Linked DNA regions of Nothobranchius furzeri. The protein of the gene in region 2 interacts with the protein of the main gene of each other region in a biochemical or structural test. Links are inferred from orthologs where the notes say so. Each region holds a gene or a part of one and is shown on either strand. Other genes may lie near its edges.

Region 1 (3,833 bases), about 63 Mb from region 2:
AAGTTCCCGTTTTGTGGCTTTGGGGATGCTTTCGCCTGAGTTTGATTCCTCCCTCCCAGATATGCCAGAAGGGATGTTCTCCCCCTGGGAAAGTTCACCTTGAACCTGAGCGGCTGTCCGACCGCGCCCCCGTACGCCGAGCGCCTTTACCAGATCATCCAGCAGCTTGTGCCTTCGGTGAGTCCAGACCCAGAGGTTTCCGTTTCCGTGCGTTCGTCTGCTAATGGGCCTTAAATGATTTTACCTGCAGTCCCATTACCTGGGCATGAGCCTCCAGAACATGAACCAGCTGCGGCTGGTGCCTAAGAAGGACTACATCGCAAACCGCCTGACGAGCGGAACCCTGCAGCTGTCCCAAAACACCTCCCTCTTCCTGGATGAAACCCAGCTAGAGCAGGGACAGTTGGACACAACAGGTGGGACCTCTGCTAGCCACAAGGGGGCAGCACTGATCATCCTAATGATCTGGTAAGCAATCTTCTCTCCTGTGTTGTAGGTGTGCGTAATGTCACGGCCATGGGGAACCTGATCTCGTGGCAGAAGGTTGATTATGACTTCAACTACCATCAGATGGAGTTCCCCTGCAATATTAACGTGCTCGTCGCATCCGAGGGTCGCTCACTGCTGCCGGTAAGAGCCAATCAGGTGCTGCTGCAGACTGTAAACTCTCTCCTGTCTATTTAAGACGCGCACCCCGGTTGGGTTTCCACTAGTTTCTCATGAGACGCAGCCGCGTCAGAAGCTGGAGGTTGTGCTAACAGCTGCCACTGGCCAGCTGCAGACCCCCCTCCGTGCCGCAGCCTTAGCCGGGGTGACGCGCTGCTGCCGGCAGCACGAGGAATGCGCCATGTGCTATTCCTGGATGCTGCTCTAATGAGTTGCCGTGTTGGCAGCTGCGTGCTACAGGAACAATCCAGGGAGTGGCGTCACATGGGGCGATATGCTCACCCCGAGCGCTGTAAACAAACCTGTACATGGCAGCGTTTACGTCAGACTGTTTATGCTGAACCGTGGGCTCAGGCTCGAGGCTTTCTCTGGCTCCTGGGTGAAGTCCTGACGCTTCTATTCCTACAGTCCGACTGTCACATACATCTGCAACCGCAAGTGTCTTCGTCCCACGTAGAGGAGTACATCAGGAGCGTCCACGTCCACCCGCAGGTGTCCTCGCAGCTGAACAAGTTCAGAGTTTATCTGGGCGTGGCACGTCTGCTCGACTACAGCATCTCAGACGACGTGACCAAGGTGAGGCTGGACGTGTGCCAGGACACGGTTAAAGAGCCTTTTGGTTGTTTTTACATCTCTGCTTTCTGCCCGTCAAGTCAGTGGAGGAGGACTTTGTGGAGATGAGGAAGGACGACCCCCAGGGCGTTTCTGCAGAAGATCTCCACAGGCTGCTTGTAGTGGCCAGGTGAGCTCAGACTAGGTTCTCCTCCAAAGTAGAACTGAGTTTTATTAGCTTACAAGGCTGTTGAAGACTAGGTTCTTCTAGGAACCATTTATTTTTTAACTAATTATTTCTGATTTTAACAGTTCACTCTGAGGTTTTTCATGCAGGCTGAACATGATGATAGTCTCCTACACCTATCTCCTGCATTAAGGTTGGTTTATGCTTGACGCGTCCGCGAGGGCCGCACGGAAAAGTTGCGTCATTTTAACAACCACGCCCCTCCACCGCACCTCCGCACGGCCCAGAATTTCCGCAACGCACACCTCGGAAAATTTCTAACCACGCGGACGGACGGACGCGGGAAAACATGGCGGACCGGCAAGATCTAGTATGGCAGAGGTTCGTAAATACAGACATTTGTATGATTCAGCTCTCAGAGATCACCGTGATCAACATGTTGTTAATAATTCTTGGAGAGAAATAGCTCGCACTGTCGGAAAAGACGAGAACGCTGTTAAAAATGCTGAAATGCCATGTTGTAAACAGTAATTTCTACTTCTACTATGGTGTAGTGTTGGATGCATGCCATAGAGCTCCATGCTGCCCCCTACAGTTTGGGAGAATATTGGCTCACCGCAGAGACAAGCCGCACGAACCATAAACGCTGCGAGTTGTGAAGCGCGTTCCATCCGCGAGCCGCATCACCGCGTGGAAAGTAAATGCGTCAAGCATAAACCAAGCTTTAGCTTCTGATAGAAAACAGACGGTGAAACTCTAGGATTAGAAAATCCTGACAGATCTAAGTCACACTGTCACTAACATTCATCGACTCGCCCATGTTGGCTCACGACGGGGAAGGCTGTTGTTGGTTTAGCGTCCAGGAAACAGCAAAGAACGTCTCAGCTAGTAGAAGCTAACTGTTAGCATTAGCAACTCCACCACACAGCAGAACTTCTCCAGGCTTGTGTTATTTGTGGAGATGAAACATCAACGTTGCAGAGCAGTCAGTGGTAGAGTCGTGTTGTTGTTAGCCAATCAGAGCTGTCCAAATATCAGGAATCCAAATCCTGTCGTCTGTAACTTTTTTTTTCTCTGGCAGCCTTCTGTGAGTTTTTGTCCCCGGAGTACGACTTAAAAGGCATTTATTCCACTGCAAAAATATAAAAAAATGAGTAAAGTTGACCAAAATGTACATTTATGTTCCTGAATAACATCTGCACAACAAATGCTCTAAAATCTGTTTTTATTTGCCATATCTGGCCGCTGCTGGTGACACTTACTCCATAAGTTCCACATAAATAAGCATTTATTGTAGAAACCTGAGCGTGAACCGTTATGACAGATCAGTAACTGGTGTTGTGTTCAGCCTAGCCGTTAGCTCATCGGTGCGGTCATAAAAGCCGTTTGTCCAGACTGCGGCTCCTCGTGAAGGTTAACTGAGCGCCGAACGATGCCTTCTGACCGTCGGCATCTAGATTTCCTGTTCAAGATGAGTGAAAAGCTGAAACCCGACTGAGTGTGTGTGCGTCTCCGTCCGCAGGTTGCTGTCCCTGAGCCTGGGACACACGTCCCTGTCCAGAGACAGCTGGCTGAGAGCCAAACACATCGAGACACTGCGAAGGAGCCGAATAGAGCAACACAAGAGCGTGAACGGCAACGAGCCGTGAGCTCACGCGCGGGACAGCTCAACGGTTTTCCTTTTGTTAGAACAGTTTAATAAAGTTTTTTCACCTTTTTGTAAACTAAAGATTTATATATTCCAACTAGAATTAAAGGTATGACTCAATAACAGCCGACTGTTTATAATGTGTAACTGCAGAGCCAACTTCCTGTTTACATTCAGCACGGTGCATTTAACAGTTTGTCTCACGAGTAAATAGATTTAATAAAACTTGTGCAGCTCATGTGTCATCTTTTCATTCCAGACCAAAAAGTGTAAAATGTTCTTTTTATTAACACCCAAAGATAATAAATAGGATCCTTTAATATACAACACATCTGAGTACACGGTGGAGAACAATGTCATCGGTCAGGTTGGTACAGAAGAGGAGACGTGACATCGGGGAAATGTGCTTCAGCAGCGCCAACAGAAAAAACCTGATATTTGTGTCTCGGGTCGAAACGAAAGGACACAAAAAATGCACTTGGTGTGAAAACAAAAGGAGACAAAACAGCCAGCAAATGTGTCAAAGTAAAAAAGCTGACAGCATCAGGAGGAATGCTTTTTAGCACAAGATAAAACGAACCGCTCCAGTGTTGAACCTGATTAAAATTCCCGTAAGCGTTAAAACTGCGCTACAGCTGCAGCTTTGGCAGCACCACGTACTAAAAGCAGCACCTGCAAAGCAGCCAAGACTGAAGTCTCGTGTCACACGAACCAGACAAACAAATCCACGCGTTACCTGCTGGTGAGCCAACGGGAGTGAGGACTACAAAGATGGGACCC
Region 2 (4,383 bases):
CACCATGTCCCTCTGCTGGTCGTGCTGGTCCTTGATGATGAAGATCATGTCGAAACGAGACAAGATGGTGGGCATGAAGTCAATGTTGTCCTCCCCCTTCGTGTCGTCCCAGCGACCAAACACGGAGTTGGCGGCGGCCAGCACGGAGCAGCGGGAGTTCAGGGTGGTGGTGATGCCCGCCTGGAGGAAGCGAGGACGTCAGGATACCACGGCAACCGTCTCACATCCAAGATGGCGCATCAGCTGTACGTACCTTAGCGATGGAGATGGTCTGCTGCTCCATGGCTTCGTGGATAGCCACGCGGTCATCCTCCCTCATCTGAGAAACAGAAACCGCTCAGATTTAGACTCCGAACCGGGTCTAACGCTGACGCTCGGGCGTCGGTCCTACCTTATCGAACTCATCGATGCACACGACTCCTCCGTCGGCCAGCACCATGGCCCCTCCCTCCATGATGAACCCACGAGTGCTAGGGTCTCGAAGCACCGAGGCGGTCAGGCCGGCTGCGCTGCTGCCCTTCCCGGAGGTGTAGACCTGAAGGTCACAGACACACCGCTGAGCTTCTCCTCATGCTGGCGTCAGAGCAGCAGCTCCGGGAAAGCTTCTCTTACCCCGATAGGCGAGCACCTCTCCACAAACTTCAGCAGCTGAGACTTGGCCGTACCGGGATCTCCGAGCATCAGAAGGTTGATGTCGCCTCTGCGAGTGAGACCGTCGGGCAGCCTGGAGGAAGAAAATCAAAAAGGTTACCTATTAAAGTCAGATAAGAAACATTTCTGCAGATTAAATATCCACAAAATTCCCTAAGGGGGGGGGGGGGGGAATGGGGCGAGGTGGCGGTTTCACCTCTTCCTCGAGCCTCCGAACAGCAGACAGGTGATGGCCTTCTTCAGATCGTCGCTGCCGTAGATGGAGGGAGCTAAAGACTGAGCCAGAGAGTTGTAGATGCTCGGAGAAGCAGCAAGAGCTCTCAGCTCCTCCTCCTCCTGAGGAGACACGGACCCGGTGGCACCACGACCTGGACGGGATGAAGAAGGGGAACGTTTCTCCGGGTGGACTAGAGGCCAGCCTCGTGAAGCAGACGTAAAGCGGTACCTGCTCCTTCTGTGTCCACCTGGATGCCGACCACTCGTAAGTAGGACGCGCGGATCCCGACGCCGATGCCCTTCTCCTTGCCCTTTGCTTTGGCAGCAGCCATCTTTTTGATGGAGTAGATCCCCAGGATGGTAACCCTGTTGCCAGGCACCACGCGGTCACACATATACCTGAGAGAAGAGAAGACACCTGAGTGAGCAGAACACACCGCCCCGGCTCAAACACCCACGCCACGCCACGCCGCCCCTCCTTACCGGTCACAGTACAGCTGCAGGTGCCGGGGGATTTCTCCGTGTGGCACGGCATCCGGAGACTCCTGCAGACGGAGCGTCTGGAAGTCCACGCAAACGCAGCGGTCCGGAATGATGAAGTACGGGTCCACGGGGCACTTTGCTCTCCCAGGAGCGTCACTGAGAACAAAAGGGGTGCGTTAGCTTCCTCGCTGATGGCCGAAAGCCCGGGGGAAAGCGCGGCTCCTCTGGGTTACGCCCACCTGGTGCACTTGCGGGGCAGAGCATAACCCTGCAGGCCCGGCGGCAGCGCGATGTTTTTGATGGTGTTCCTGCAGCCGCGACACTGGAGGCACACCTTGGTGGCCTTTGCTTTCACCGCCGTGGCTGAGATGATGATCCCGTGCACCTTCACCAGACGAGACACCTGCTCCGACTGTACGAGAAGAAAAGTAGTGTAATCCAGTCCTGCGCGACGACTACAAGGCTCTTAAACAACACGGGTCAGCAGGTACCTTCAGGGTGCGAATGTAAGCATGGTGGGCGTCGCTCTTGAGCATGACCTGGATGTCCTGCACCTCCTCCTCTCCTACAGGTCGAGGACGGGTCACTTCATCCGCCACCTCCTTGGCAGCTTCCTCCAGCTGTTAAATGAAAATCTGTTAGAGGATGTCGCTGGAAAGGTTCGCCTGACAGTTGGGTCTGGCTCCAGCAGAAGACTCACCAAGGGCAGGTTCTCCGCAGGAACCTTGTAAAGGCAGTCAGACAAGTCTTCATCAAAGCTGGCCAGGTCCTCCATCTCCACCTCCACCCAGAACTCTCCCAGGGTGTAGTGTCTCTTCAGCTCATCTCTGATGGGAAGGACGGACAGATGTTACAATCCGGACAGACTACCAAAATAAAAGCAGGGTGAAGAGAGCCCATTCTTGTGTGTGTGTGTGTGTGTGTGTGTGTGTGTGTGTGTGGCGTGGCACGGGGAGGGGGGGTCGCGGTAGCTCTCCCTTAAAGATGGCGGAACACACTCACAAAAAAGCCTCATTTCACCCTGAAACCTTAGATCTCCTCACCCAGCTCTTATTTTGGTAGGTACCTTCCGGATAAAGACTTCTTTTATTTTAACATTTTGTGTCGTTTCACTTCGAACATTTACCTCCTTATTAAAACCAGTTCTTTGGTGGCTGTGGCCGTCTGTGTTGCTCACCTGTATTTGTAGGTGAAGCCGGTGCGGTCCGTTCCCACCCGGAACTGCCGGAGGAACTCTCGGAACCGCTTCTTGATCTGAGCCCGCTTCTGCCCGCCGTCGTCCCCGCCGGGCGCGTCTCCTCCTCCGAAGCTGTCGCTGTAATAAACTCCGGGAATGTCGAAGCCAGACATCCTGCTGCAGCTCACTAAACTAAAACTCGGAGCTGGGACACGACTTTATTCTCAGACAGAGCGATCCCAGAGAGCGGCACTAACAGGAACAATGCGCCAGAGCGAAGTCCTTTCGCGGGAAAAAACGATCTGCTTCCTGTCTGTTTCCCGCGAGCCGCTTGTTTCGCTACACGCCTCTTCTGTTCTCTGATTGGCTGAATTAAATCCGGCTTCTTTCTATTGGTCACAGAGGGTTCCAAAAGGCGTGACGTTACGGGGGAAGGTGGAGCTTAGCGCTGTTGTGGCGCGAAAAACACAAAGGGGGAGGGGCGGGAGCGTCGTGCTGCCCAGCTCAACATGCAGAGGAGCCATGAGAACATCTAGCTCGTTTTCGCAAACGTTTCAGCTGTTTTGTCTTCAAAGATCAGACTTTAACATTTATTAGAAACATATTTCAACCTTTTTCATGCAAAACTCCAGTCTGGGTGCTTCAGGCTCACACGGCTTTGGAAGAGTTTGAGACTTCCCATCATTCTGGTTTGTGGGTCTGGACTCTGGACACCATTCTGTTGTAGATCAGCTGTGTTTGGGATTTGGTCCCTTTTCATGATCAACTTTACTCCAACGCGTTAAAAGAGTGCAACACTGAAAAAGCCTTCTTTTATTTTTATTTCTACTTATGATCAATCAGCCACTCGTGTTTCTCGCAGGCTGAACACGAGAATAATCTCCTACACCAATCTCCGGCTGCTTTAGCTTCTGATAGAAAACAGACGGTGAAACTCTGGGATTAGAAAATCCTGACAGATCTACGTCACCCTGTCACTAACATTCATGGACTCACCCATCTTGACTCACGACGGGGGAGGCTGTTGTTTAACGTCCAGGAAACCGCAGAGAATGTAGCTAACCATTAGCATTAGCAGCAGCACCACACAGCAGAAGCTCCTCAAGACTTGTGTTATTAGTGGATAAAACATTGTTGCAAGTCAATGGTAGAGTCGCGTTGCTGTCATCCAATCTGGGGCGAGATGTCCAAATAGCTCAGCTGTAACGTGGGCAACTTTTAGGTCAGATAAATAGTGCATCGGTATATTTTTCACCCCCGAGAACAACTTACAAGACATTTGTTCCTACTAGAACAACTCCCTTAACCCTCTGGAGGCAGGCGTCTGCAACAGTTAAAGCCTACCTACCTGGTTACTCCACATAAGTATTTCATGAGCACTTTTGAACTCAGAAGTACCCCTGAAGGACTTAGTTGTTCGTCCTTTTATCAAAACTTATTTTGAGCCTGAGAGGGTTAAACATCAGAGACATAAACTCACTTTTCAACCATTAAAAAAAGATGAGTAGACTCAATGAGTGCAAGAAGCCCAAACCATCAACCCTCCACCACCGCAGGTATGATCCTGTTTGGTATTTTCATGAACTTGCATTGAAACTAGACACATTATTCCCATCAAGTGACTCCTGTGTGCAGGTGCTGCCATGTTGTATTTTGGTTTGTGCACTTGGGACAAGCTCTAAGTCACTTGTGCACAATCATCCATCCACTTAATCCTCACTAGGACGACATGGAGCTGGTGCCCATCTCCAGCTGCAGGCATTGGGTGAGAGGAAAGGACCCTGGACATGTCCCCAGTCCATCACAGACCTTTGTTTCTTCTTAATTATAAATCTCAGTAAGACAAACACAGCCTC
Region 3 (3,604 bases), on a different chromosome or scaffold from region 2:
GTTGTCCTGCAGCCTGGAAGGGTGTCTGGACCAGAGCAGAACCAGTCAGAACCTCGGGTTATTCCAACATTAAACAGGTCTGTTTAGTGAAGGCTTACACTTCTGAGACGGATATGAGCTCCGTTTTCATGTAGCCGCTTTTATCCGTGTTCTCCACGTCCATGGGCTCCTGAGCTGGAAGGCGATGAAACTGTGATCAGGATGTGTTTTATTCTGGAGCTGAATGAAACTCAGCAGCAGCTGTGAGGCTTACTCTCTGACGGTTTGGGGTAGTATTTCCCAAAAGCCTTGTCTTTGGGAATGTTGGGGTAGAGGAAGCGCAGAGGGTTTTCTGGGATGTTCTCGGCTGCCATCACCTTGTAGGTGCGGATGATGTCCGGCAAAGACACGGCTGTCAACTCCTTCTTTGTGTACGGCTCTACAGAGTGGTAAACCGGCTTGTCTGGGGGGAGGAGAAACAGGAAGTAGATTGTTTTAGGAACAGGAAGTTTGAGCTCATCGGAGGTGACAGGTATTGTGGCCCCCATAGGAGATGTTACCGTGGACGTCATGCTCGATCCAGGTGAAGGTGATCGCTCCCTCCTTGCTGCTCTCACTGAACCTGAGCAGGAAAGTCCCAGGACACTTATCGCTCAGCAGAGCCTTCTCCCTCTCTTTACTGATGAAGCCCATGATGCAGCTGCACACAACAAACACACCCATCAGTTGGATTCCGTCCTCGAGGAAGCGCTGCGTCATCACGGCAACTCACCCGTCGTTCCACAGGGACAGCAGGTGGCGTTTGATCAGGTCCAGGATTCCTTCGATCCACAGCCAGAAGGGAAACGTCTTCTCGTTGGCTCCTTGCTGCCGAGCAAACGACAAGAACTTCAGGTTCTGCTCCAGCAGCACAGGATGACAGCAGGTGCTGCAGGGCGACTCGGGCTCACCTTACAGAATTTTGTCCAGGGGATGAGTCCTTCTGGATTCCTCTGAGCTTTGGCTCCTGAACAGAAACACGAAAACGTTCAGATATAAAGACTCAAACCCAGGGTAAAAGAAGAGAGCAGAACCAGATCAGACAGGCTGATCCAGGATCTGTTTGTGTGTCTGACCGAGGAGTTTGTCAGCCAGCATGTTGAGCTGCTCCTGGTTCAGTCCTCGCTTGGTGACGGACGAGAACTGCCAGCTTAGAACCTCGGACAGCTGAGACCACTTCGCCGCTGGAGGGTTGAGGAAGAACTTCAGGTTCTGGAGGACAGATGGTTCTGTTAACAGCAGAGCGACACAGGGCTGACGGTGGTAGAAGAACCGGGTCTCACTTTGGGTTCTGTGGTGAGCATGTTGTACCAGAGGATGGAGGCCCAGCCGCTGGGTAGCTGGCACACATTGGAGATGACCACGACGGGCAGAGACACGGCCTGACACACAAACACACACCTCAACACACACGCTCGCTGGAGTTTGGTCTGCAGAAGTTGTGTTCGTGTCTCGTCTCACCTCCAGCAGGATGGTGAGTCCAGAATGGTGCAAATGCAGGTCGGACTCAAAGCTGAGCGAGTGGAGTTCCTCTGTGACGATCAGAGGCGCCTGAACAGAAACACACAAAGGTCCAGACAGGGACGAGGGAGGGATTAATCTCAAACCCGAAGAACTAAATCTGCTTCACTTCAGCAGCTGGACGACGACGAGACGTAGACGTTTGTTGGAGAAATGTTTTGACTCTCCAGATCAAATCAGTTTGTGATGCAAAAATAAAAATAAAAGTTTTTATTTTGTACATCTGTGTTGTCATTAAAGCTGACATTTACATACATATATAATAAACATGAAATCAAAGATACTTTATTAATCCCAGAGGGAAATTAAGAGTTTCAGTACACACAACTCAGAGATCAGACATACATGGGCATAGACACATGACAAGAATTGGTGACTGTGGTCATTTGCAACCTGAGTCGTGCTACCTTAATAGAGAAAAGAGGGTTACATCAGGATTGGTTCAGGTGGAGGGAAAGACAGAGTTGAGTTGCCAGAGCGACGGCACATTCCACATATCTTCTGAGGGGGGAGTTTTCATTGGAGCCTTGCTGACTCAAGGACGCCAGATTCCTATTAGAAATTGTTTTGGGGCCAGACAGAGATAATTTCCTCTCTGTCTTACAGTTTGTTGGTCCTCAACCTCTCAAAATCCCAATAATGGGCATTAATCTATCCCAATCCGTGCTGATTCGTCCACTCTATCCTTGACAGCATCCATCTTTGTGCCAATGAATGAATCTCGGCCAAAGTCCCAAGCTTACGATTCATCTAGACAATTATGTGAGTCTGTGAATTCACAGCGTGGTGCAATCCATCTCTGAGCCCCGGGATCAAGCCAATATTCCTCTACAGCTCATTAATTTTCCGGTAAGCCAGGTAGCCTCCAATGCTGATCAGCAGGAACCCCGACACCAACACCACGAATATCCACACATCTTCAGAGTCCTCCACAGACAGCTGGTCTGTCATGGAGGGGCATCTGGGAGCCCCTTCTCCCGTTCTCATCGTTGAAAAGATTTTATCAATCGCGTTGAGTGACCAACTGACGAGATCCATTTGAGTGAATTTCAGTTTCCAGTTTCCAGAGAAAATGCAGATCAGCCGTACACCCAGCACGCAGAGACAGACAAAGGGCCTTGAGGATAAGTTATGGAGGAGAGGAGGAGAAAAGCATCTGCACCCTCCAAGAGCCGGAAGAATTTGTGACATGTAAGCTGTTCCTGTAATAAATGACCTCTGGAACTGAAATAAAGAGGAGTTTGAAGCCTCATACCTCGTTTGTCCTGTTGCCGGCGGTTTTCTGCTCTTTCAGTTGCTGAATGGAGACAAAAACAGGTCAAATAAGCAACTCTACATCTTTAGTCTCACCCAAAAGGCTGAGAGGCAAAACATAACAAACAAGGAATTTTCAGCTCATCGGGACTATCCCAATCCCATCACAGACGTAGTCTCTTCCACCTGAAACCTTTGGCTCATAAAACCAGACGTCTACATCAGGGTTGTCACAATCCTCAAGTGCTCCTCAATCAAAAATTGAAAATGCACCAGAACACTGAACAGAAGCAGTGGCGCGCCCAGAACATTTCCATAGGGGGGGCCAGTAAATGTTTTGGGGTGCCTCATCAATTCACTTTGAGAGCGTTTAGCCTGTAGCGATGCATTTCAGGCTACTTTATGTATTTTTCATTAAAATACAAAATACATCAAACACACTTACCATCAAATTCGATATTTGAGAAAAGGACACATTTTCCAAGTTATTTTAAATATTGTTTCAAAATGTATTGTTTATCACCTGCTGCCGCCTTAAAAATATTTACATTTTTTTTCAAAATGGTAAATCTAAATCGGACTTGTAATTGCAGCAAACAGCAGAGTTTAGTCTTGCGTCTACAAGCTGCTAATTAGGAATTTGTCTACCTGGCATGTACACAGCACGCTGGGTTTCACAGCCCCGGGTCTGACTCATGAAGAGTAATCCAAAGTATAACAGAAGTAGCTCGGCAAGCCATCCTATATAAGTGAGCATATAGTATGGCCATAACCTATAGACAGAGCTCAGTCGTGGGGCGTGGATATACAG

What was found.
Region 1: the proteins of mcm5 (region 2) and mcmbp form a complex in vitro, tested with the Homo sapiens proteins (2 studies listed by BioGRID). The link is inferred for Nothobranchius furzeri from reciprocal best matches to the Homo sapiens genes MCM5 and MCMBP.
Region 3: the proteins of mcm5 (region 2) and stat1a form a complex in vitro, tested with the Homo sapiens proteins (2 studies listed by BioGRID). The link is inferred for Nothobranchius furzeri from reciprocal best matches to the Homo sapiens genes MCM5 and STAT1.

What each region holds. Positions count from the first base shown.
Region 1 is NC_091752.1:5,506,719-5,510,551, forward strand, and holds the end of mcmbp (mini-chromosome maintenance complex-binding protein), read left to right. Parts: intron 1-59; coding exon 60-177; intron 178-250; coding exon 251-416; intron 417-496; coding exon 497-630; intron 631-1,074; coding exon 1,075-1,242; intron 1,243-1,319; coding exon 1,320-1,408; intron 1,409-2,927; coding exon 2,928-3,054; 3' UTR 3,055-3,291; downstream 3,292-3,833. UniProt on the Homo sapiens protein: Associated component of the MCM complex that acts as a regulator of DNA replication.
Region 2 is NC_091752.1:68,041,371-68,045,753, reverse strand, and holds the start of mcm5 (DNA replication licensing factor MCM5), read right to left. Parts: upstream 2,836-4,383; 5' UTR 2,701-2,835; coding exon 2,528-2,700; intron 2,178-2,527; coding exon 2,051-2,177; intron 1,971-2,050; coding exon 1,842-1,970; intron 1,763-1,841; coding exon 1,590-1,762; intron 1,507-1,589; coding exon 1,351-1,506; intron 1,267-1,350; coding exon 1,097-1,266; intron 1,020-1,096; coding exon 848-1,019; intron 725-847; coding exon 613-724; intron 536-612; coding exon 392-535; intron 320-391; coding exon 254-319; intron 181-253; coding exon 4-180; intron 1-3. UniProt on the Homo sapiens protein: Acts as a component of the MCM2-7 complex (MCM complex) which is the replicative helicase essential for 'once per cell cycle' DNA replication initiation and elongation in eukaryotic cells.
Region 3 is NC_091743.1:83,724,173-83,727,776, reverse strand, and holds part of stat1a (signal transducer and activator of transcription 1a), read right to left. Parts: intron 2,837-3,604; coding exon 2,795-2,836; intron 1,570-2,794; coding exon 1,480-1,569; intron 1,401-1,479; coding exon 1,302-1,400; intron 1,231-1,301; coding exon 1,095-1,230; intron 986-1,094; coding exon 930-985; intron 847-929; coding exon 752-846; intron 680-751; coding exon 540-679; intron 443-539; coding exon 254-442; intron 175-253; coding exon 99-174; intron 26-98; coding exon 1-25. UniProt on the Homo sapiens protein: Signal transducer and transcription activator that mediates cellular responses to interferons (IFNs), cytokine KITLG/SCF and other cytokines and other growth factors.